Linked DNA regions of Saccharomyces cerevisiae S288C. The protein of the gene in region 3 interacts with the protein of the main gene of each other region in a biochemical or structural test. Each region holds a gene or a part of one and is shown on either strand. Other genes may lie near its edges.

What was found.
Region 1: the proteins of VAM3 (region 3) and NYV1 form a complex in vitro, tested with the Saccharomyces cerevisiae proteins (11 studies listed by BioGRID).
Region 2: the proteins of VAM3 (region 3) and VPS1 form a complex in vitro, tested with the Saccharomyces cerevisiae proteins (3 studies listed by BioGRID, with this or other methods).

The regions. Positions count from the first base shown.
Region 1 is NC_001144.5:321,621-332,936, forward strand, and holds NYV1 (Nyv1p), read right to left. Parts: upstream 5,796-11,316; coding exon 5,780-5,795; intron 5,639-5,779; coding exon 4,893-5,638; downstream 1-4,892. Other genes in the region: XDJ1 (Xdj1p), read left to right, coding at 1-460; GEP5 (Gep5p), read left to right, coding at 677-1,558; SUL2 (sulfate permease), read left to right, coding at 1,924-4,605; GIS3 (Gis3p), read right to left, coding at 6,110-7,618; IOC2 (Ioc2p), read right to left, coding at 8,057-10,495; serine/threonine protein kinase KIN2, read left to right, coding at 10,970-11,316. UniProt on the Saccharomyces cerevisiae protein: Vacuolar v-SNARE required for docking. Only involved in homotypic vacuole fusion.
Region 2 is NC_001143.9:441,038-444,637, forward strand, and holds the start of VPS1 (dynamin-like GTPase VPS1), read right to left. Parts: upstream 1,686-3,600; coding exon 1-1,685. Other genes in the region: polynucleotide adenylyltransferase PAP1, read left to right, coding at 2,195-3,600.
Region 3 is NC_001147.6:517,236-527,206, forward strand, and holds VAM3 (SNAP receptor VAM3), read left to right. Parts: upstream 1-1,885; coding exon 1,886-2,737; downstream 2,738-9,971. Other genes in the region: PIN2 (Pin2p), read left to right, coding at 407-1,255; YOR105W (uncharacterized protein), read left to right, coding at 960-1,286; GTPase-activating protein RGS2, read left to right, coding at 4,118-5,047; 2-isopropylmalate synthase LEU9, read left to right, coding at 5,792-7,606; phosphatidylinositol-3-/phosphoinositide 5-phosphatase INP53, read left to right, coding at 8,043-9,971. UniProt on the Saccharomyces cerevisiae protein: Required for vacuolar assembly. Provides the t-SNARE function in a late step of the vacuolar assembly. Required for homotypic vacuole membrane fusion, autophagy and fusion of biosynthetic transport vesicles with the vacuole.

The DNA.
Region 1 (11,316 bases), on a different chromosome or scaffold from region 3:
CATTACCATATCGTTAAGCGAGGCCTTGACGGGATTTGAGAAATTTTTGACAAAAACCTTCGACGACAGGTTACTAACATTGAGCGTTAAACCTGGCAGAGTAGTAAGACCTGGTGACACCATCAAAATCGCCAATGAAGGTTGGCCCATTTTAGATAACCCTCATGGCCGGTGCGGCGATCTGTATGTTTTCGTTCATATTGAATTTCCACCAGATAACTGGTTCAATGAAAAATCAGAACTACTAGCAATAAAAACGAATCTGCCGTCATCTTCATCTTGTGCCTCACATGCGACTGTAAATACTGAAGATGACAGCAACCTGACTAACAACGAAACTATATCAAATTTCCGGATCATTCACACGGACGATCTTCCAGAAGGGATAAGGCCGTTCAAGCCAGAAGCACAGGATTCAGCGCATCAGAAAGCAAGAAGTTCGTACTGCTGTATCCAATGATGGCATCAATAACTTTTTATTCTATTTTTTTTTTTTTTTCATAAGTTATCCTACCTGTATATATGTATATATATGAAATTCATTTACTGAATGCGGTGAAGAATGAAGTCTTTCGCACCTTCAGTAGAAAAATAGGAAGAATCCCCATCGCGGCGGACATAAAGCAAGCATACAAAGGCCTTCTATCAGAACAGCGATTGCGAACTTGGAGCAACAATGGCGTCCCAGGTTAACGCCTTATTACTGCCGGTCATAGAGTCTACGCCGCTTCATCAAATAACCAAGGTAGCATTGACGACCACACTCACAAGTAAACAAAGCGATTACAAGTTCAAAGAAATAGCCGTGCCGTTAACAAAATCACTACAACTGTACGAGAAGGCGCAAAGAAGACAAGATTTAAGGGCAAGCTTAAAAGCACTGGAGAGTATCATTTACCAAACGCACTTCCAATGGAATAACCCGCTCCCACGACATGCGCATCTCTTCCAAAAACACTACCACTTTCTACTGACTCACTGGCCATTTGAGAACCACAGAGACTTGGTAGATTCCATCGCTGTAAACAATGGGAAACTAAATTCAACGTCTTCAAGGAGCGTCTGGCTGAAGGCGGATTGGATAACACTGTTTAACGTTAAAAACCCTTGGGTCCAAACGCCGCCATCGTTAATGCGTCTGAGTGGGACAGATCTTGATACCTTCACACCAGAGAGGATATTCCTGATAAATTCTCTTGGAAACCACTACAAATTTTTAATAGCGAACAGTCATCTAAGCTACAATCACAAAAAATACCCCTCCCCTGGCGTGCAAATTCCTGTCAGGAACGCTCTTGGCGAAGTTTCTCCGGCCAAACAAATTGCCCAACTTTTCGCAAGACAGCTGTCTCATATTTACAAGAGCCTCTTCATAGAAAACCCCCCGCTCTCTCCTGAGAACGAGCTGGCATTGACTGCCGTCTTCTATGACGAGACTGTAGAGCGACGCCTTAGAAGGCTCTATATGCGAGCTTGTGCAAGGGCATATACGACTACTAATGCCGACTCCACCACGGAGCCTTTGATGTTTCATTGCACCCGGTGGGAAGTTGATTAGTTGTTGTTGGCTGTTATACTGGAGTAAATGTCACGTGCCACTGTGGCCGTGTCAGGTCACGTGAAGAGAGAAATTCGGCCACAGTTGTGGTCCTAAACAAGGACTGAAAAAGATCGCAGAAACTAGCAACGTCGGATAGCGGTATGGTTGAACCAAAGTCCAGTTTTTAGTCATAGCCGGTTGAGGGATGATCTGCCGTTCAGTGTTCTGCGTTCAATAATACGCATATATATATATATCAAGGTATCAACACAATACTTGAACAGGTTAGGCTCGTACTAAAGCCTGGAAGTTTTTATCTTTCTGTAACATTTTTCTTTCTTGAGGTGTGTGTGTGTATAGATTAGCAGGGAATTATCTAAGATATGTCCAGGGAAGGTTATCCAAACTTTGAAGAGGTAGAAATTCCTGACTTTCAGGAAACTAACAACACCGTTCCAGATCTTGATGATTTAGAATTAGAGTATGACCAATATAAAAATAATGAAAATAATGACACGTTTAATGATAAGGACTTAGAGAGCAATTCTGTAGCAAAGCACAACGCAGTGAACAGCTCAAAGGGCGTAAAAGGCTCGAAGATTGACTACTTTAATCCTTCAGATGTCTCGTTGTATGACAATTCCGTTTCCCAATTTGAAGAAACAACGGTATCGCTAAAAGAGTACTATGACCACAGTATACGATCTCATCTCACGGTGAAAGGAGCATGTAGTTATCTTAAGAGTGTTTTTCCCATCATCAACTGGCTACCACATTACAATTTTAGCTGGTTTACTGCGGATCTTATTGCAGGAATTACCATTGGCTGTGTTCTCGTGCCGCAATCCATGTCATATGCACAAGTCGCCACGCTACCAGCGCAGTATGGGTTGTACTCCTCGTTTATTGGTGCTTACTCCTACTCTTTTTTCGCTACATCAAAAGATGTTTGTATTGGGCCCGTGGCTGTCATGTCTTTGCAGACCGCCAAAGTCATTGCGGATGTCACGGCAAAATATCCTGATGGAGATTCTGCCATAACTGGTCCCGTTATTGCAACGACTCTAGCGTTACTATGTGGTATCATTTCGGCAGCAGTTGGCTTCTTGCGTCTAGGGTTTCTTGTCGAACTGATTTCCTTAAATGCAGTCGCTGGATTTATGACTGGATCCGCGTTTAATATCTTATGGGGTCAAGTTCCAGCACTAATGGGTTACAATAGTTTGGTTAACACGAGAGCTGCCACCTATAAAGTGGTCATAGAGACCTTGAAACATTTACCAGATACCAAACTGGACGCAGTTTTTGGGCTAATCCCGCTTTTCCTTCTTTATGTTTGGAAATGGTGGTGCGGAACATATGGACCAAGGTTGAACGATAGATACAACTCCAAAAACCCAAGGTTACACAAAATTATCAAATGGACATATTTTTACGCTCAGGCTTCCAGAAATGGTATCATTATTATTGTATTCACTTGTATTGGTTGGGCAATCACAAGAGGCAAATCTAAATCGGAGAGGCCCATCAGCATCCTAGGCTCAGTTCCATCCGGTTTGAAAGAAGTCGGGGTTTTCCATGTTCCACCAGGATTAATGTCTAAGCTTGGTCCAAATTTGCCTGCATCCATTATTGTGTTATTGTTGGAGCATATCGCTATTTCGAAGTCTTTTGGTAGAATCAACGACTATAAAGTCGTCCCCGACCAAGAATTGATTGCTATTGGTGTCTCGAACCTTTTAGGTACTTTCTTCAATGCTTACCCAGCGACTGGTTCCTTTTCAAGGTCTGCTTTGAAGGCTAAATGTAATGTCCGTACGCCGTTATCTGGTTTGTTTTCGGGTTCATGTGTTCTTTTAGCATTATATTGTTTGACCGGCGCATTCTTTTACATTCCAAAGGCTACCTTATCTGCAGTTATCATTCACGCTGTATCTGATCTTTTGGCCTCTTATCAAACTACCTGGAATTTCTGGAAGATGAATCCATTGGACTTCATCTGTTTCATTGTCACCGTCCTAATAACGGTATTTGCCTCTATTGAAGATGGTATTTATTTTGCCATGTGCTGGTCATGTGCAATGCTCATTTTAAAAGTGGCTTTCCCAGCGGGAAAATTCTTGGGTCGTGTGGAAGTCGCTGAAGTTACTGATGCTTACGTCAGACCGGACTCCGATGTGGTTAGCTACGTGTCTGAAAATAACAATGGTATTTCCACTTTAGAAGATGGTGGTGAGGATGACAAGGAAAGTTCCACCAAATACGTCACAAATTCCTCCAAGAAAATAGAAACAAACGTTCAAACAAAGGGCTTTGATTCTCCATCTTCTTCGATTAGCCAGCCAAGGATAAAATACCATACTAAATGGATACCGTTTGATCATAAATACACAAGAGAATTGAACCCGGACGTTCAGATTCTCCCCCCACCAGACGGTGTTCTTGTTTATAGGCTATCAGAGAGCTACACCTATCTCAACTGTTCCAGACACTACAACATCATAACCGAAGAAGTTAAAAAAGTTACCAGACGTGGTCAATTAATTCGCCACAGAAAAAAATCTGACCGTCCATGGAATGATCCTGGTCCATGGGAAGCACCTGCTTTCTTAAAGAATTTGAAATTCTGGAAGAAAAGGGAGAACGACCCTGAATCCATGGAAAACGCGCCCAGCACCTCAGTCGATGTTGAAAGAGATGACAGGCCATTGCTGAAAATACTATGCTTAGACTTCTCACAAGTGGCACAGACAGACGCTACGGCTCTTCAATCATTGGTTGATTTGAGAAAGGCCATAAATCAATATGCAGATAGGCAAGTTGAATTCCACTTTGTGGGTATCATTTCACCATGGGTGAAGAGAGGTTTAATTAGCAGAGGATTTGGTACTCTGAACGAAGAATACAGTGATGAATCCATTGTTGCCGGTCATACAAGTTATCACGTCGCCAGAGTACCTCAAGGCGAAGAAAATCCTGAAAAATATAGCGTTTATACCGCTTCAGGAACAAATCTACCTTTCTTCCATATCGATATCCCAGATTTTGCTAAATGGGATATCTAGCCAATGCATTTACAATGGACATGCAAACATTTATATCATCTCTTTTTTTCTATATTCCTAAACCAAAAAGTTTTCCCCCTTAAAAGTATACATTTAATATCATAATGAGATAGACACTGTTTATATAATAAGAAATAATAGGTAGGATGGTGCCATCGTGAGCATATACATACCTATAAATATTTACCTTATTTTTATTTTATTTTTCTCTTCCTCTCAGGAACAAAAGAAATACAACCGTTATTAATGTTATTGTCGTGGGACAGCTCCCCTTTTTTTTTATTTACTTACCACAGATAGAAAAACATGAAAGCAGCACTTACAAATAGTATAATAGTGAAAGTTAATAACGTAATATTTTTGACCTTCTGCCACCACATTATTTCTTTTATATTGACCGCTTTGCGCCTAAATTTATTACTGCTGCTATTTAGTTGGGAAGTTTTATCCACCAATAAAGAAACTCTTTCTTGTCTCTCCAAGAACTTGTCGATGTTATCGTTCATTATCTGGATGACGTCCTTTATTTGGTCTTCGGTGGCATCCCCGATGTCACTTATAGTGTTCTGACCATTCCCATTACTAGATTGGCCATTTCCAGAACTATTTAAAGTTTGGTTACGGTATTCGACCAGCTCTTCATGGAAAGAGTCTAGTATTTGACCTACATGCGAACTTAAAAGTTCGTTTGTAGCGTTGGACTCGTATTCCTGCAGCCCACTTAGTATCCTGATGGGCAAAATCTTGGGCATATCTACTAATGTGAAGCAAACGTACACAGTTTTGGGGTCATGGTCATCCGTGGAGTAGAAACAATCGAATCCGTCGATGAGATTCATTGACATCTTGGTAACTTTGTTCCCCTTGATCGGAACTACTTTGGGTAATACCATATCCATGATCAAATTATGGAAAATGACCGGCGTTATCTGCTCGTTTGCTGAAGTTATTGTACCATAGTTTTCGTTTTTCTGGAACGGCTGGAAACAACTAGATATTGTTTCACCATTTTTTATAACTTCCACATAACTTACTAAGACCATATGCAAAATCAAGCAAAATGGAACGTTAGTCTACTGAATGTAACATAGTAAAATTATGGCATGGGGGGATGAGCATTCGCATAATCCCTTTTTTAAACATTTGTTAATTGTGTAGAAATATTTATACATACCATTAAAGCGTTTCATTTGGTAAAAATATAAAAGTCCAATGCTCTAACAGCTTAATAAATTGTCGCTTTTCACTCTGTTCTTCAAATTTAATAGCTGTTGCTCCAACTTAGTCAAGTGCTAGAAAATTCATAGAGGGGCTTTTTTTCATCATTATTGTGACCTCATTTTTTCTTTCTTCGATCGTTTGAGGCGAATATTACCCGGGCGCTTGGTGGTAATGCGTTGTTTTAAATATTATATATAATGAATGTGGTGGTAGAATATATAGTTTACTATTTTTAGATAATGCAAATGGGTGGGGTGAAGGCGATGAAAAGGTGGGGGGTCTATCAGAGAAACCTGCTGTCACACCAGCCCTTTACGACATATTGAATCTCTCTCGTAGGTGCGGAAGTCTTATTGGTGACTTTGCCTAAATTTAGTTTTCCGCATGGTTTGAGCATTGTGCCGCCATTGTTGAACCATGGCTTGACGTCTGAGTGTACGCGGACCAAAGAACTTTTCAAATCCGCCGTTGCATGTTCGCTTGCGGATTCACGGCCTTGCGAAGGTTCCGTATTGCTTGTCGTTGCAACAAAGTGCAAATTCCAGGGGGTAGAATCGCCAAAAAGATCATTTCTTGTTTCATGGACCATGTCAGACCATAATTTTTTCCTAGTAATTAGGGCAAGCTTAATATCGTTCGTAGAGACATTTGGCTCCTTTTTGATTTCCAAAGACCGAATTTCGGAATACGTTAGCTGCTTCAACAGATGGTCATCTACTTCGACTTCGGGTAAAATACTCTTCCTTTTACATGATGTTTCAATAGAGTATAACTTTAGGAAATTGGTATTCAAACTTTTTTGTCTTATTCTTTTATTGGGCAAGAGCTCGCTAGATGCAATCGAACCGTCGGTCTCGGGCGATGGTGATGCAGATGGCCATTGTTCTAATTCTACCAGGTCATTTTCGTAAATCATGTTTTCTGTAGTCGATTTGCTCCTACTCTTCCTTCTTGAAGTCTTGCCGCCTTTCTTGTCGATGATTTGGAAGTCCACAGAGGTCGGACGAAGTTTGGCATCGGACGACGCAGAAACCAGTGAAAGGGCAGAGGACGATCGCGGACGCCGTTCGTATACGGGAGGAAAGATATCGACTAAATCCTTAACCTCCCAGTCGTCGAACAAATCGAGATCATTTATGTTTATTATTTTCATTTTGGGCACGACCGGCTCAGCCAGTACCTCATCGCCAATCGCGGGGGTCTGCAAATCGACAGCGTCAGCAATATCATCTGTCAAGGGATGAAGTTTAGAGGAGCTCAATGAAGAACAGTCGCTTTGAGCTTCCTCGGAGAACTTCCTCTTTATGCTCTGTGTTAAGTGGCCCTCATGTATGGGGCATTCGCCCGATAACGTCTTGGCGGAATTTGTTTTCCTAACTTGCGACATGACCGAGCTTAAGGACGGGGTCATCAAAGATGAGCGATTTTCGTTCAGCAGTTCGGAATCGTCTCGAGCCTTCAGTATTCTAGTCCTCTTGAAGCTATTCCTCTTGGTTAGTGTTCTAGTACGTTCAGCGCTTCCTTGACCATCGAACTGCGGCTTAGTGGAGTGGAAATAAATCTCATCGCTCACCGTCCTATTACTTGTGGCGGTCTTGTTCATGCTGGCGCTGGCTAACTTGTTATTCTTCTTATTAGTAGCGGTAGCGTAAAATGACTTGGGATAAAATACCTTTGATGAGTCGCTCCATGAGTGCAATGCGCCATCATCACGTATGCTTTTGATGAGGCAATGTTCATGCACATGAGCATCGTGCATTAGTGTGTGATTTGTGTTCACGTCCAGCAGCATTCTATAATTATGTCTTGTTGAAAGTGTTCTGTATGTTCGTGTCTATCCAAAGAAACAAGTAATTGAGAAAACTAGCCATCAAATACTTGTGAAGAAGCGAGTTTCCATTCTCTGTTTCACTCGTTTGGCGTTCTCACCATCCCACTTTTATTTCATTGGCTTTTTTAACACAATAAGGCGCCTTCAGCACCTTTGCCGCGCATTAAGGATGGCCACTGACGAAAAACCGGATAAAAAAAGACGAAAAAATGCCGTCTGACCCTAGTCAGGAGCCGCCTCATACACCCTAATTATTTTGGCGCTAAGCCCTAAGCATCATTATTACCCGACATGAAGCGACAGAAGCCCTACGGATGTGCGGCTGGAAAAGAAAGTTTCATGAAGAACCAGTTGATATATATTTTACTATATACTTTTGCTGTGTATTTCTATATGAGGCTAGTTGGTTGGTGGGAACTGGAAGTGAAAGTTCTGTTCTTTAGGGTGCAGCGGTTGCTGTTGCTGTTGCTGTTGCTGTTGCTGCTGTGGTTGGATTGATGCTTGTGATGTTTGTGGTGCCTGTGGTGCTTGTGGTACAGTTTTGCTGCCAGTTTGCTGCGAGTATGTAATTATGGGGTGAGCGGCATTTACATTAGGTGCTGGATTGATGGCTGGATTTGTTTTTTCGTAAGCGGCGATACTAGGCGTTGTGCTACTTGACATGTTTGCAAATGCATTATTAAACACTGGAGGTGAGACAGACTCGGTTAGTTCCCTTTTCTTTGCAAGCTCTTCGAGCCTTTTCTTTTCTTCCTTCATTTTTTTTCTTCTTTCACGGTCTTCCTGTTGTTTTCTTTGTTTGGCCCTTATTATTTTCAATTCAGGCACAAAAATGTTGCGCAGCTCAAGTTCCAAGTCCCTGATGCACCAAGCGCAGATAAAAGTGGAGCATTCAGACAGCGGTTTGCGTTTATCAGTAGGTCTTGAAGACTTGGTGCTGGGTTCAAGTGTGGATTGGGGTCTGCGAGAAGACCTTCTATTGCCGTGCGAATTTCCCATTATGATGACGCCAAAATCACGTTGCGACAGCGTGTGCTGTGGGGATTTTGTGGTTGAAGATATAAGCTCTATAATTTTTGGAGGTTGGCATTCCCAATGCTGCCACCTGTAACAATGATCACAGCATATCAATGGGCGGTTATTGAAGAGGTCAGTCTCCGTGTCTTCGGTGATAATCATGGGCGCCAGCTCTGGTTCGCCCGGACATTGGAAAACAGAATCTTGGTTGTCGGGCTCTTGCTGCGGAGTAAAGATCCCGTAGTTGGCAAGCTCATCTAGCTCTTCCTTTGTTATGCAGAAGTCACTAGGCAATTCAGGGACGTCTCCCGTCTGTAGTGGCCCAACAGTTCCAGGAATTGGTGGTTCCACCGGGATTATACTAGATTGAAAGTTAGGGCCGTGATCAAGAACTCCGATATCGATTTCATTTAAGGGATTGTCCTCCTCCCTGCCCAAAGACGTTTCAAAAAACGGTGTACCAGAACCACTTCTATCTTTGAGCTCGTTACGCCTGGTCAATTTTTCATCTCTATAATCTTGATCGTACAATTGCCACAATTGGTTCCAAAGAAGATCTTTTATCTTTTTGATTTCCTTCGACACTAGCTTGTTTCTGTGCCTTATAAATTGTTCTCTTTCATCTAGTTTTTCAAACCACTCACTTTCCAAGTCTTTTTTCTTGTTTTCTTCCTCTTTCGCTACCAGTCTCGAAGATCTTTTCCTCCTTGTCATTAGCTCCGCAATTGCTCTCTCCTTTTCTCTGTTGGCCAAAAGTTTTGCCGAATATAGTCTATGTTCGGCATACACCGGTATTAAGTTAGTTATGAACTCATCTATGGCTTTCGAACTTTTATTCTCTGACCAGTATTCTAGCATGGACCCCCAATTAGTTGTAATCACATCATAATCAATTGTAATCGATTGAAGATATGCATCGATATCGTGAGAGTACTCGAGATGAATAAGCTCCACTGAATCAGGAATGTCTGGGTCGCTTTCTTTTATAGTACAGTTCTGTAGTTTTATTGGGATATTCAGAGTTTGAGAGACTTGGGAGGAAGAGCCTTCTTTTACTCTGTGAATGGTTTTCTTTACGAGTACACCAACATTGGGTAAGGCAAACAAGCTCTTCATTTCCTCCCCTCCACTATTATCATCATCCAGTATAACTTCACTAAACGTAAACAGATGCAAGTTATTCGCTAAGTAGTTTTTGAAGATCATATTTTTCATTTCAATTAATTTTATGATACTGTAAATGATGTCGAATTGGCGTGCAATTTCAAGCTCCAAAAAAGGTAAGTCCGTAACCAAATCTGAATACGCGCTCGAGTTTTGCAAGTGATGGTTAACTATAACATTCCAATCTTTCAATTGCCCGCTTTTATTTCCCGCTAATTGATGCAATAATTGCAATCTAATTCTGTCGTACAAATTTTGCGATCCTTCATCTACGTCGACTTCATCATTGTAATAGTTCGAGTCCTTCCCGTCTATCTTCGAAAATACGTCAGTTACAAATACACCTTCATCGAATTTGATATTCTTCCACAAGCATTTGGTAGAGCTACCGCCATACTGGTCAGTATTAAATGTCGTTGTAGTATATGATTCGCAGACATTGGAAAGCCAAGCCATCACATACTGGAAGTGCCAGTGATTGGCCAAGTCCGCGATCTTCTCATCTAATATTTCAGAATACGGCAGCTGGTGCTTGTTCAATTGGGCTATTATGTCTTCGGAGACATATTCTTTCCAGTCTTCACTATCCGCATTCGCAGCGCCGGCAGGCATGCTCGCTCCTACATTTCTTGTACCCCTAGTTCTCTTCGTTCTCATCGATCGCTGATTCACCGCTTTGTATCTATATATGATTAGCCAGTGTGTATGAGTAAAATAGAGCAATTGATCTAGTTTCTTAGTCGTGTCACTATTGAATAAATAAATGTTAATGTTGCTGGAAAGGAAGAATTATGTCACTTTTGACGCTCTCGCATTCCGTGTGCGGTGATAGCGGTAACTTGGTCTAGCAACGAAAATTTAAAAAGGTTGGAAAAGGAAAAGAAGAGCTCAAGTGGACCTAGAAGTCCTGCTTTGCCACCGTTTAAGCAAGGAATAGAGCACGCCGTTGACACAAATTCACAGTCAAGGACGGGCCACGAGAACTTTATTACAAAATATACTGCATTACACGAAATTCAGCGGAACTCTGAGCGCGAACAGCATTAGGTACCGAGAAACGCTTTTCAAAAGAAATTTCTAAAAGTTTTATTGTGCCATTAATATCGCGGCTCAATTGTTAAGTATTTCACTATGCCTAATCCGAATACAGCAGATTACTTGGTGAATCCAAATTTCAGGACCAGTAAGGGCGGATCTTTATCGCCGACGCCAGAAGCTTTCAACGACACGCGAGTTGCTGCACCAGCCACTCTTCGCATGATGGGCAAGCAATCTGGACCAAGAAATGACCAGCAACAAGCACCACTGATGCCTCCTGCAGATATCAAACAGGGCAAGGAACAGGCAGCTCAGAGACAAAATGATGCATCGAGGCCTAATGGCGCCGTGGAATTAAGGCAATTTCATAGAAGATCTTTGGGAGATTGGGAGTTCCTTGAAACGGTTGGCGCAGGCTCTATGGGTAAAGTTAAATTGGT
Region 2 (3,600 bases), on a different chromosome or scaffold from region 3:
GGTTTACCCGTCTTTGGGTCAACAGCGACTTGGCGAGGATGTAATTTTTCTTCCACCATAACCATTGCTTGAGAACCCTTCAAAAGGTCGGGATGGGCTGTATTGATGTAAGTTTGTTCAGCTTTGATGATATCGACAACAAACTCATTCGTAGGAATAGTAGCATCCTTTAAGAACTGAATGAACTGATTAGAAATCGCTTCTCTTAGAGCAGGATACCTTGAGTACTTTGGTTGTGAAATAATCTGTTTTAGCATACGAACAAGTTCATCAAACACCAGAGTAACTAAACGTAGAGATGGTTCTTCAAATCTTCTAATTTGCTGTTTAACTAAAACTTCAAAAGCTTCGGTACCGACAAACAAAGATGGGGCAGAACCTGAACTATTGTACATAATGGTTCTGATATCAGAATCTTTGATCTGGTCGAATGGATCCAAAGAGTCTACACCATTTTTGAAAGTTTCATGGAATACGTAAGAAATTCTAGCACCACCAGAAAGTTCCTGACTGGAAAGCTCCTTCGCCTCACCGTCCAAGATACCGGCATATTCATTGGAAAAATCAGTAATCATGCTCAAAACAACCGAACTAGCTGAATCCATAGTTTCTGGGCCCAAGTTTATAAGTTCGTTTTGATATTTTTTCAATGTGGCTTCGATTTTCGCTTTGATTTCTGGCAGAGTTTGCCTAATGTGGTGTAATAAGATTGAGTTTAACTTTTTAGCCAAATATGGTGTACCACAGTAATGAGCTTTAGAACTGTAAGAGGGATGGTTCTCAAAAAATTTTCTTTCGTTTTCAAGGGCTTCTCTGATTGTTTTTTTGTGTTCAATATCCTTTTGACCTCTATTGATAACTGGGATATAACCATATCTCAAAGGAATGACTCTTCCAGCCAAAATATCTATGACATCTGTACCTTGATCCATCAAATCGACTTTTGTCAAGACACCAATAGTTCTCGTTCCTTCTGGATCGACCTCTCTAGCCAGCTTCAAACCATCGCTGTTGGCTAAATCGGTGTTAGCGGCATTAACAGATAATATGATAGCGTTTGGTTTCGAAATATACTTTAACAACATGTCCTTAATTTGTCTTTCAATATCAGGAGGTTGGTCACCTACGGGAACCTTCGTCAACCCAGGCAAATCCACTAACGTCAAAGTAAGAACATGCGGAGAATAAATTCTCAAGTTAATGGGCACAGAAGAAATACCTGAATTGGCACCTGTCACTTTGTCAGTTTCTTTGACGATTTCCTTTCTAATTTCGTCAAAATTATAAAACTTCTTACCAGGTAAATGCAAAAATTCACCCCATTCCTCTTTATTGTCTTCAGATTGTCCCTCGTTCTGGTGCTTTCCTGATTCATCCTTTTTCTTGTCATCATCGTTGATGTTCAAGTCAATCAATTCATTAGCAGTTTGGTTTACTTTAGCATGTTCTGACTTTTTTGGTCTCCTATTAATCAATTGTAACACTAAAGGTCTCCTGGTGACAATACCAGTACCTCTTGGCAAGAAATCCCTACCAACAATGTTCTCCAAAACGGACGACTTTCCTGACGACTGGGAACCGACAACAGTGATCTGTGGTAAATCAATAGGAGATTGAGATCCTCCTCCTAAGGGCGCCAAAGCGTCCTGAAGCTTGTTAATAGTAGAAATTAAATGCTCATCCATGATATCTGATAATATAAAATGTGCAGTTTTCGTACGGTCCTTATTTTGGTGCTATAAAAGGCCTCTCTAATTCTTTTTTAGGAGTAAATAGATGAATTATCTCGGTCTGTCTTGGAAGATATGTTGTTCTCTTGATGGCAAAGCGACGCGAATCAACGGCGCCCAAGTCTTTGGGTGACCCGGCCACTTAATAATGTTTGGGGAAGAAATCAATCCATTAGAACATTGGTTTTGGAAACTAGGCCAGTCCAAGCGCACAAGTGGTTTACCCTCGAGCATTTTTCGACTATTAGAGGATTCAAGTATCTATCGAATTCTCTGAAGCTATCATACTATCCTCTGGACGATATTAGAACGATTTTTCAAGTGAAACGTTTTAGCAAAAGTTTAAAGACACTAAACTAGCTAAATAATTTCACTGTGAGCAAGTCTTTAAACGGTCTTTTTTGAATCAAAAGAGGCCTAGAATTAGCAAAATATTTAACGCATAAACTTTTTTTAGACAAATAATGAGCTCTCAAAAGGTTTTTGGTATTACTGGACCTGTTTCCACCGTGGGCGCCACAGCAGCAGAAAATAAATTAAATGATAGTTTAATCCAAGAACTGAAAAAGGAAGGATCGTTCGAAACAGAGCAAGAAACTGCCAATAGGGTACAAGTGTTGAAAATATTGCAGGAATTGGCACAAAGATTTGTTTATGAAGTATCGAAGAAGAAAAATATGTCAGACGGGATGGCAAGGGATGCTGGTGGGAAGATTTTTACGTATGGGTCCTATAGACTAGGAGTCCATGGGCCTGGTAGTGATATCGATACTTTGGTAGTTGTTCCAAAACATGTAACTCGGGAAGATTTTTTTACGGTATTTGATTCACTACTGAGAGAGAGGAAGGAACTGGATGAAATTGCACCTGTACCTGATGCGTTTGTCCCGATTATCAAGATAAAGTTCAGTGGTATTTCTATCGATTTAATCTGTGCACGTCTAGACCAACCTCAAGTGCCTTTATCCTTGACTTTATCAGATAAAAATCTACTGCGAAATCTAGACGAGAAGGACTTGAGAGCTTTGAATGGTACCAGAGTAACAGATGAGATATTAGAACTGGTACCAAAGCCGAATGTTTTCAGAATCGCTTTAAGAGCTATTAAGCTATGGGCCCAAAGAAGGGCTGTTTATGCTAATATTTTTGGTTTTCCTGGTGGTGTGGCTTGGGCCATGCTAGTGGCTAGAATTTGTCAACTATACCCTAACGCCTGTAGCGCAGTTATATTGAACAGATTTTTCATCATTTTGTCGGAATGGAATTGGCCACAACCTGTTATCTTGAAACCAATTGAGGATGGCCCGTTACAAGTTCGTGTATGGAATCCAAAGATATATGCCCAAGACAGGTCTCATAGAATGCCCGTCATTACACCAGCTTATCCATCAATGTGTGCTACCCATAACATCACGGAATCTACTAAAAAAGTCATTTTACAGGAATTCGTAAGAGGCGTTCAAATTACGAATGATATTTTTTCCAATAAGAAGTCCTGGGCCAATTTATTCGAAAAAAACGATTTTTTCTTTCGATACAAGTTCTATTTAGAAATTACTGCATATACAAGGGGCAGTGACGAGCAGCATTTAAAATGGAGTGGTCTTGTTGAAAGTAAGGTAAGGCTTCTAGTTATGAAACTGGAGGTGTTAGCTGGAATAAAAATTGCACATCCTTTCACCAAACCCTTTGAAAGTAGTTATTGTTGTCCAACCGAGGATGACTATGAAATGATTCAAGACAAATACGGTAGTCATAAAACTGAGACAGCACTGAACGCCCTTAAACTGGTAACAGATGAAAATAAAGAGGAAGAAAGTATTAAAGATGCACCAAAGGCATATTTAAGCACCATGTACATAGGCCTTGA
Region 3 (9,971 bases):
AAATGAAAATCCCAGTTTTTCATTCAGTTTCTTGCTACAAAGTATCAGTCTTAGCTTTTTTTTGCTACGAACGTGGCCCTTTTTATGCTTATTTTTCGTTGTAGGAAAATGCCTCTTCTCTTATAACCAAATGGGGAAAAATATAAATGATGCATCTCGAAAAAGCTTCAAGATCTACTGGAACCGCAACTTCTACTCTAGAACTGGATAAAAGCCTAGAAGAACTTCAAAATTAAAGGGGCGCAAGAAAGTTTCAAATATATTACATATTTGCTACTTAGATCAAGAATAACCACCCCCGGTCGTGACTTTTTAGATTTTTTTTATCTTGTTTATTTTTAGCAAAATAACCGTTTCAAGAAAATACTAGAAATATAATCAAAGACTCCCAAGCGTATACACAGTAATGAACGTTTGCAAGTTGAAAGAAATAGTACCACTATTTCCGAGATCGTCCTTTACAGATGGTGTAGTAAGTACAGGAAAAAGTTTCCGAAGCTGGGACACCTGCATGGACAATAAAGCATGTAAAATTATTGCGATTGTTGGTATTGTTTTGGCCTGTATTCTTGTGATTTGGTTGATTGGGGGCTTACTGACATGTTTCAGGCAAGGGGTAACAGGAATAGGTCAGTTCATTTGTTGGTGTTGTCGTTGTTCTAATGACAGAAATGGAAACAATACAATGCCGGTAAATGAGGGTTTTAGTAGAGTTAATATGGGCGTGGCTCCTCCTTCTACTGTGATTTATCAGCCTATTCAACAACCTGAAAGTGCGTATTATAGAAACGATGCGAAGAATGATACATTTTACGACGAAGTCAAAACTCCCAGTAATGAGGTGTATGAATTAGAGGAAGATTTCGATTTGGAAAAACAAAAAGAGAAAACAAGGAAAAAACAACAGAAGGAAAGAAATAAAGAAGGACGCAGCCCTAGTAGGGTGGCCCCTCTAGTGTATGAAGAAGAAAATTTCGAAGGTAGCAGCCCTCAGCCGCAATATGATGCTAGAAATTCGTTTATCCAAAATGCGGCCAATACTGGTAGCAACAACGCTCATGTTGCTTCACAATCTCCAATTTTTGACATCAGCGATTATGGCGAGAACTATTATTACGATAATAATAACATCAATAATAACCTCCAGGGAAACAGTTACAATACTCCCTCCTCTAATCATAGAAGTCCATATCCAACCGAAAATTATCAATCATATCAGGGATATAAACCAAACCAAAGCGATAGATATTACTAATGAGGTAAATATATATTCCCCCTTCTTTTGAATAATCAGTCAGACATTTTAAGATCAAGAGGATTCATTGGTAGATTTTGCAAGAACCAATTAGGAATTTCTTCAGGAATAACTGTGAGCTTGCGTTTACGGAAAGGAAAGTAAAAAAAAATCTTCCAACGAGTTTTTCCTTGTACCGGTTGCTAAAAAGGTGCCTTCTAACAGGTAACACCAGAAACCGCAACTTTTAAAATGCAAATAAGGGCAGTCAATGGTGAACTTCCTCTTGGTCAGTTAGTATGTACAATAAATTAGGTTGTTTTCCTCAGGATAAAAGTGATCTATTTGTAACATATAGTTTACCTAGGTGCTGACGAGGACACAGGAAGAGCAAAACTAAGATCATACAAGTCAATACTTATTATAATCAAATGATAATATTCGTTCAGCCTCATATTCGAGTTTCACATCACAACTTTTTTTTTCGCGAGATGCGCAGTAAAAACTCTATATACATTTTTGTAGTGAATTTTGATTTTGATGTAAAGAAAGCAGCCAGGAGATTAAAGGAAGGAAAATAGAACAATAAAAAACCACGGGATCAGCATTAACAAATTGGCCAACTAATATCCACTGCAGAAAGTTGAGATTATGTCCTTTTTCGACATCGAAGCACAATCTTCAAAGGGTAACTCCCAGCAAGAACCACAATTCTCAACAAATCAAAAAACGAAGGAATTAAGCAATTTAATTGAGACATTCGCTGAACAATCCCGCGTGCTGGAAAAGGAATGCACCAAAATTGGTTCCAAACGGGACTCCAAAGAACTAAGATACAAAATTGAAACAGAGTTAATACCGAACTGCACCAGTGTAAGGGATAAAATTGAGAGCAACATCCTCATTCACCAAAATGGAAAGTTGTCTGCTGATTTCAAGAACCTGAAAACGAAGTATCAATCCCTACAACAATCATACAATCAAAGGAAGAGTCTGTTCCCTCTAAAAACGCCTATTTCACCAGGAACATCTAAGGAAAGAAAAGACATCCATCCGCGAACTGAAGCCGTGCGACAAGATCCAGAGTCTAGTTATATTTCTATAAAAGTAAACGAGCAGAGTCCTTTACTGCATAACGAAGGACAACACCAATTACAGCTGCAAGAAGAACAAGAACAACAACAGCAAGGATTGTCCCAAGAAGAACTAGATTTTCAAACAATCATTCACCAGGAAAGATCCCAACAGATAGGACGCATTCATACGGCGGTACAAGAAGTCAATGCTATTTTCCATCAGCTCGGTTCATTAGTGAAAGAACAGGGAGAACAAGTAACCACCATAGACGAGAATATCTCGCATTTACATGATAACATGCAGAATGCAAACAAACAATTAACCAGAGCAGACCAGCATCAGAGGGACCGTAACAAATGCGGTAAGGTCACCCTAATCATTATAATAGTTGTGTGCATGGTGGTATTGCTTGCTGTATTAAGTTAGTAATCTCCTTAAACGCGCATTGAGCACAGACTTTCTGGTAGACCCAATCTTATCTATTTACGAAAACAAGAGTGTATAAGAGTGTATAAGTTATTTTTTGCATTTATTCTTTTGTGGTAGGGGGGTTTCTTAGCCGCTCTTTTTGACTCAAAATTTCCTTTGATGTCTAGTGATAGTGCACTTCCCATGTGCGCAACCTGTGTTTTTTGTACTCCGTAGTTTAAATGCAAGGGCTCGATATGCCCTTTTTCCTTTTTCTACTTTGTACGATCTACACTGACCTTTTTTCAGTAGTCCGTAAATCCCCACGAATTTCTACTAGCGACTGCCAATAAAAAAAGGATTGTGCTACTGTATGTAAAAAGTAAGAACCCTGTTATTTTCCGTTAACTGTCATTTGCCTTACTGTTGCTTAACGGCCGCCAACCGTTATCAAGAAACAAAACATTGTATGCGTTGTCTTCTAAATGAACCTTGTGGGCCCTGATAAACATAAGAACGTGTCTGGCTCGGAAGTATTTATCTTATTTCAATTTTCGCTTTTGCAGAACATCCTTGCCTGTCACTAAGATAAGGACAGAGCGTGGATTAATAAAAATGGCAGAATTTCTCGGCAAAAAAAGAAATCATGCATAATTACCTCGATGTGTACGTTATTGCGGGCACGATCCTGTCGCTACGGCCTGATAGTAGCGGCTATTCTGCTGGCGAAAATTTTCAGCAGTTTGAAATCTTACTGTGGCGTCCCGGTCCAGCCGAGATGACATCTAACTAAGAAATGTCCGCTGCGGCACACCCACGCCGTTGCAGCTAAAGTCGCGCACCAAGCACAGACCTGCTGGAGAATGAGGAACAAGGTTGCGTTAAATGCTTCGGGAAGAACTGCCGAACCGAACCGCTAGAAAAGTGCGCAGGTACCCCGATCGAAGCGGCTCGGCGCTCATTTTAGCACAATCAGAAAAAGGAAATTGAAAGAAGAAAAAAAAAACATAATCATTAACAATTCTTTTCTTGAGATATACGTATATATGACGTCGTCATGTAGTATCTCTTTCGGGATACCCTTTGTAAACGTCCCTTTGTGGAGATGAAAAAAAAACTTGCTGAATAAAGATAGTTAAGGCGCTAGTAATCAAATTAATAACATATTATACCACATCACATCTATACCATTTCCGTTGCACATTGCTTGAACCAGTTGCCAAAATTGACTAAACGGATTTTTACAAAGTCAACGGTGATCACTAAAAGCAAACAACTCAAGCGACGAGGCAAGGAAAGAGAAGAAAAAAAAAATATTACATTGGCTATATAAATATCAAAACATCTTAGGTAAGGCACCTTTGATACATAAAACGAAGAAAATTCAGCACATGCCAGATGGCGAGTGTACCAAGTCTATGCGACATACTGATACCGCTAGAAAAGAATAGTCGCAGCGACGGCGATGCTGAAAGTAGCAATACAGTGCTGATTCAACTGCGAAAAGGGCATCACGAACGGATGCGTTCTCCTTACACAATACAAAAGTTTTACAAATTTCTAAAAAGAGCTCATTGTGAGGAAAATTTAGAATTTTTCGAAAAAGCTCATCAGTTCCTCCAGCTTAAGCAAAACAGGAGTATTAGCGAGGAGAAGCTCTTGGAAGTTTGGAACAAGTCGTTGTACATAAAATACATTGCCGTGGACTCCCCCAAAGAATGCAACTTTTCACAGGATACTAGGGAGATATTTGAGAAGTGCTTTGCTAACAATGAAGTACCTGCCGACGTAGACGTCCTGTGTGCCATTAGCCATGTGATGGGCCTATTAATGGACGGGTATCACCGATTTGTGAGTTCTGTTAATGAGAAAAAGTACTCCGCCACATATGCCCACAATGACTCTGCTACGGAACAAGATCTCAAAAACGAGTCTACAACTTCTTTTTCGTCATTAGGCGTGGAGGATATTTCTGAAGATAGAAATTCGTATCTTAAGAAGCCTGATATCAATGGTTTGTCAACTATCATTCAAGAAACGTCTGCAAACACGACCAATGAGTCGCAATGCAGCGATCGCACTTCTCGGCCAAGCGAGTCCTCTTCCTCACTCAACACTACCAGCTCGACCTACAAGAATACCAGCACTAGAAATCTGCAAAAACCGCAAAATACAGGAATTCTCAACTCGGGGAAAGGTTTATTGCAAAAACTTAACTTTGTTAAAAAACGGAAATCTTTCAAACAGCCTTCAGGCGTCATTTGTAGCCATTATAACAGCAATGTTCAAAACCGTTTGAAAGGACAAAACAGTCATCAACAAAGATAGCCTCTTCATCATCTGTGGAGACACAAATATCTTCATCCTCATCGCCATTACCCAATAAAGCGATCGGTAAAAATGAAAAAAGCGTTGAAAACGGCTTTAAAAAGCTAAATTTGCATGATATCAGTTAATCAAGATTAGAACTTTGATTAAGTAGAACAACGATAGAAAATCCGCTTTTCTGGCTAGTTCCCTCGTTTCATATTAATTCATTTCACACAATTTACTTCATTTCATCACGCTCATATTGTTTGTAACTTTAGTTTTTATTTAATTTTACGTACATGACACTGCATATAATTATTTCACAGGCATTTAAAATAAGAGCATTGGGCACAGTCTTCTTTTATATGTTGTCATATTCAAACACTAAACATTTATCTGTATAGTAATTAATGTTAGCTCTTCCTTCTGCATGGCGCTTGTTATATACTTCATTCGTCTATTTTGGTGCCGCGCGCCATCATGGTCCGGTAACGGTCGTAGTGAATGACTCATATTTTTCCATCTCTTTCGGCCTTGCCAAAAAATGAAAAAAAAAAAAAAAAAAAAAAAAAAAATTAAAAACGATGTCCAGAATCACAACTACAACATAGTTTTGCCTCTTACTGGCTTGATTGGAAGTTAGCTGTTAAATTTCAATAATGCCTTACTTTACTCCACGAAATCACAATCCTTGTTTTCGGCTTATAAGGGTCTTCTCCTTAGGATAATACTATCGGCACATTATCATTTAGCCGCGTAGCCATGGTAAAACATTCGTTCATAGCGCTAGCTGAGCATGCTAGTAAACTAAGAAGGTCTATCCCACCCGTCAAACTGACTTATAAAAATATGCTACGGGACCCATCGGTAAAATATAGGGCGTTTGCTCCACCAAAAATGGTCAAGAGGATTTGGCCTGACAAAACTATTCAAAAGGCTCCACGTTGGCTGTCTACTGACTTGAGGGACGGTAATCAATCTTTACCGGACCCAATGTCTGTGGCTCAAAAGAAAGAATATTTCCACAAGTTGATCAACATCGGTTTCAAAGAAATCGAAGTGTCTTTCCCCTCTGCATCTCAAACAGATTTCGACTTCACCAGGTATGCTGTAGAAAACGCTCCAGATGATGTTGGTATTCAATGTCTTGTCCAATCTAGAGAACACTTGATTAAAAGAACCGTGGAAGCATTGACTGGTGCTAAAAGGGCTACCATACATACTTACTTGGCCACAAGTGACATGTTCCGAGAAATTGTCTTCAATATGTCTAGAGAGGAAGCTATTTCTAAAGCTGTAGAAGCCACCAAACTGGTTAGGAAACTAACCAAGGATGACCCTTCCCAGCAAGCTACTCGTTGGTCCTATGAGTTTTCTCCCGAATGTTTCAGTGATACGCCAGGTGAATTTGCTGTAGAAATTTGTGAAGCTGTTAAAAAGGCTTGGGAACCTACCGAGGAAAATCCGATCATTTTCAACTTACCAGCTACTGTAGAAGTTGCCTCTCCAAATGTTTACGCTGATCAAATTGAGTACTTCTCTACCCACATTACTGAGCGTGAGAAGGTCTGTATTTCTACGCATTGTCACAATGACCGTGGTTGCGGTGTCGCCGCCACAGAATTAGGTATGCTTGCAGGCGCTGATCGTGTAGAAGGTTGTCTATTTGGTAATGGTGAACGTACAGGTAATGTTGATTTGGTTACAGTTGCCATGAATATGTATACCCAAGGTGTTTCTCCTAATTTAGATTTCTCAGATTTAACTTCAATTTCTGAAATTGTCCATCGCTGTAACAAGATTCCAATTCCCCCAAGAGCCCCATATGGCGGTGAATTGGTTGTTTCTGCCTTTTCTGGTTCTCATCAGGATGCAATTAAGAAGGGATTTGCAATCCAAAACAAGAAACAGGCTCAAGGAGAAACTCGGTGGAGAATTCCATACTTACCATTGGATCCAAAGGATATTGGACGTGATTACGAAGCCGTCATCAGAGTCAACTCTCAATCCGGTAAGGGTGGTGCTGCTTGGGTTATTATGAGATCTCTAGGATTAGATGTACCAAGACCAATGCAAGTTGATTTCTCCAATACTCTACAGAAAAATGCAGATGCCTTAGGAAGAGAGTTAAAATCCGAAGAGATTACAAAATTGTTCAAAGAAACTTACAACTACAACAACAATGAACATATATACGTCACCTTGTTGAATTACGAAGTTAAGAAATTGAACCCAGAGCGTAGAGCTTTAGTGGGCCAGGTAGAAATCAACGATAAGGTTGTCAACATCGAAGGCTACGGAAATGGTCCTATCTCTTCTTTGGTGGATGCGCTATCCAATTTACTGAATGTTAAGTTGAGCGTTCAAAACTACTCTGAACATTCCTTGGGTTCTGGTTCTGCAACCCAAGCGGCATCTTTCATAAATCTTTCCTACATAAAGGACATCAATAATCATGCTACTAGTAATATGTGGGGTGTTGGTGTCTCCGAAGACACTGGGGATGCATCTATTAAGGCGGTATTTGCTACTGTCAATAATATTATTCATTCCGGGGATGTTCTACTGGCAGAGTAATAGAAAGGAGTAGCTTATGATTACTCATGTTATATATATATGTATTTTTATTTATAAATGGCACAGAAAAGTAACTTATTTCACGTTAAAAAGACATCTTTCAGCGAAGTTTCCAAACACTTCTTCGATGTCTGTGTGGAAAGTTTCTTTCGTTTATAGTTTTATTATTTTTTTTTGCTTTTTTTCCCATGGTACCATTTCCTTTCGTGAAACATTTTACCCAGGCCCACCCACCGCATAATCTTAACTGAATCCGAATAGGGATTTTTCGAGCACTACTGCAACTGTTGAGTGAGCTAGGAGTAGTGTAATTTGAGACTTTGTGAAGGGAGAACAGTCAATATCCAATATCATATTAAGAAAGCTAGCAGTACCTTAAGAGGAAGAAAGAAAATAACTGGGGCGAAGAATATCTAGTTATCCACTCCTTCATAGAATGATTATCTTTGTTTCAGAAGAACCTGAAAGGAGGCTAGCCATTGTATCCAACTTGTATGCTCTTGTTCTTAAACCGGTTGGGAAAAAGCCATCTGATAAACCCCTTTGTGCCATTGAACTTCTTCAAAAAAATGATTTGAAAAAATATGGCTTCAAAAGACTTACATCACACGAAATTTTTGGTGTTATCGGACTCATTGAGGTTAATGGCCTGCTGTTTGTTGGTGCCATCACTGGGAAATCAAAAGTTGCACAGCCATGCCCAGGAGAGACTGTGAACAAAATTTTTGCTGTCGATTTTTTTTGTTTAAATGACAACAGTTGGGATTTTATTGAAATCGACTCCTCAGGTTATCCTGTGTTGCCGGAGACTGCTTCAACTGAATATCAAGACGCCTTGCCAAAACATCCATGCTATGAATTGAAGAAACTATTATCCAATGGATCTTTTTATTATAGTTCAGATTTTGATTTGACCTCAACCTTACAGCATCGTGGATATGGTCAGCATTCTTTGAGTACAGATACCTACGAAGAAGAATATATGTGGAACTCTTTTCTCATGCAAGAAATGATCACATACAGAGATCATTTGGACACAAATTTGAAACAAATCTTGGATGACGAGGGGTTTTTAACAACAGTTATCCGTGGATTTGCGGAAACTTTCGTCTCGTACGTTAAGAAGTTGAAAGTTGCTCTTACTATCATCTCGAAACAGAGCTGGAAAAGAGCAGGAACAAGATTTAATGCACGTGGTGTGGATGATGAGGCAAACGTTGCCAATTTCGTAGAAACGGAATTCATTATGTATTCTAGCCAATACTGTTATGCTTTTACACAGATTAGAGGCAGTATACCTGTATTCTGGGAGCAAGGTACCTCTTTAATCAATCCAAGAGTACAAATTACAAGATCATTTGAAGCCACCCAACCGGTATTTGACAAACATATCATGAAATCAGTGGAAAAGTACGGACCTGTGCATGTCGTTAATTTGTTATCAACGAAATCTTCTGAAATTGAACTTTCAAAACGATACAAGGAGCATTTAACTCATTCAAAAAAATTGAACTTCAACAAAGATATATTTTTGACAGAATTCGATTTTCATAAAGAAACTTCGCAAGAAGGCTTTTCCGGTGTCAGAAAACTCATTCCATTAATATTGGACTCTCTTTTATCTTCTGGCTATTATTCTTACGATGTTAGAGAAAAAAAGAACATATCTGAACAACATGGCATATTTAGGACCAACTGTTTAGATTGTTTGGATAGAACAAATTTAGCTCAGCAAATTATTTCTTTGGCTGCTTTTAGAACTTTTCTCGAAGATTTCCGATTGATTAGTTCAAATTCGTTCATCGACGATGATGATTTCGTTTCTAAACATAACACCCTGTGGGCTGATCACGGTGATCAAATTTCCCAAATATATACTGGTACTAATGCTTTGAAGTCCTCATTTTCAAGAAAAGGTAAAATGTCACTTGCTGGGGCATTATCAGACGCCACAAAATCGGTCAGCAGAATATATATTAACAATTTCATGGATAAAGAAAAGCAACAAAATATCGATACTTTGTTGGGAAGGTTACCGTATCAGAAAGCAGTGCAACTTTATGATCCCGTAAACGAATACGTAAGTACGAAATTACAAAGCATGTCTGATAAGTTCACATCAACCTCCAACATTAACTTGTTAATAGGATCATTCAATGTTAATGGCGCAACCAAAAAAGTTGATTTATCAAAGTGGTTATTTCCAATCGGTGAAAAATTTAAACCCGATATTGTTGTTTTAGGTCTTCAAGAAGTTATAGAACTATCTGCGGGTTCGATTTTGAACGCTGATTACTCGAAAAGCTCTTTCTGGGAAAACTTAGTGGGTGATTGCTTAAACCAGTATGATGATAAATATCTGTTG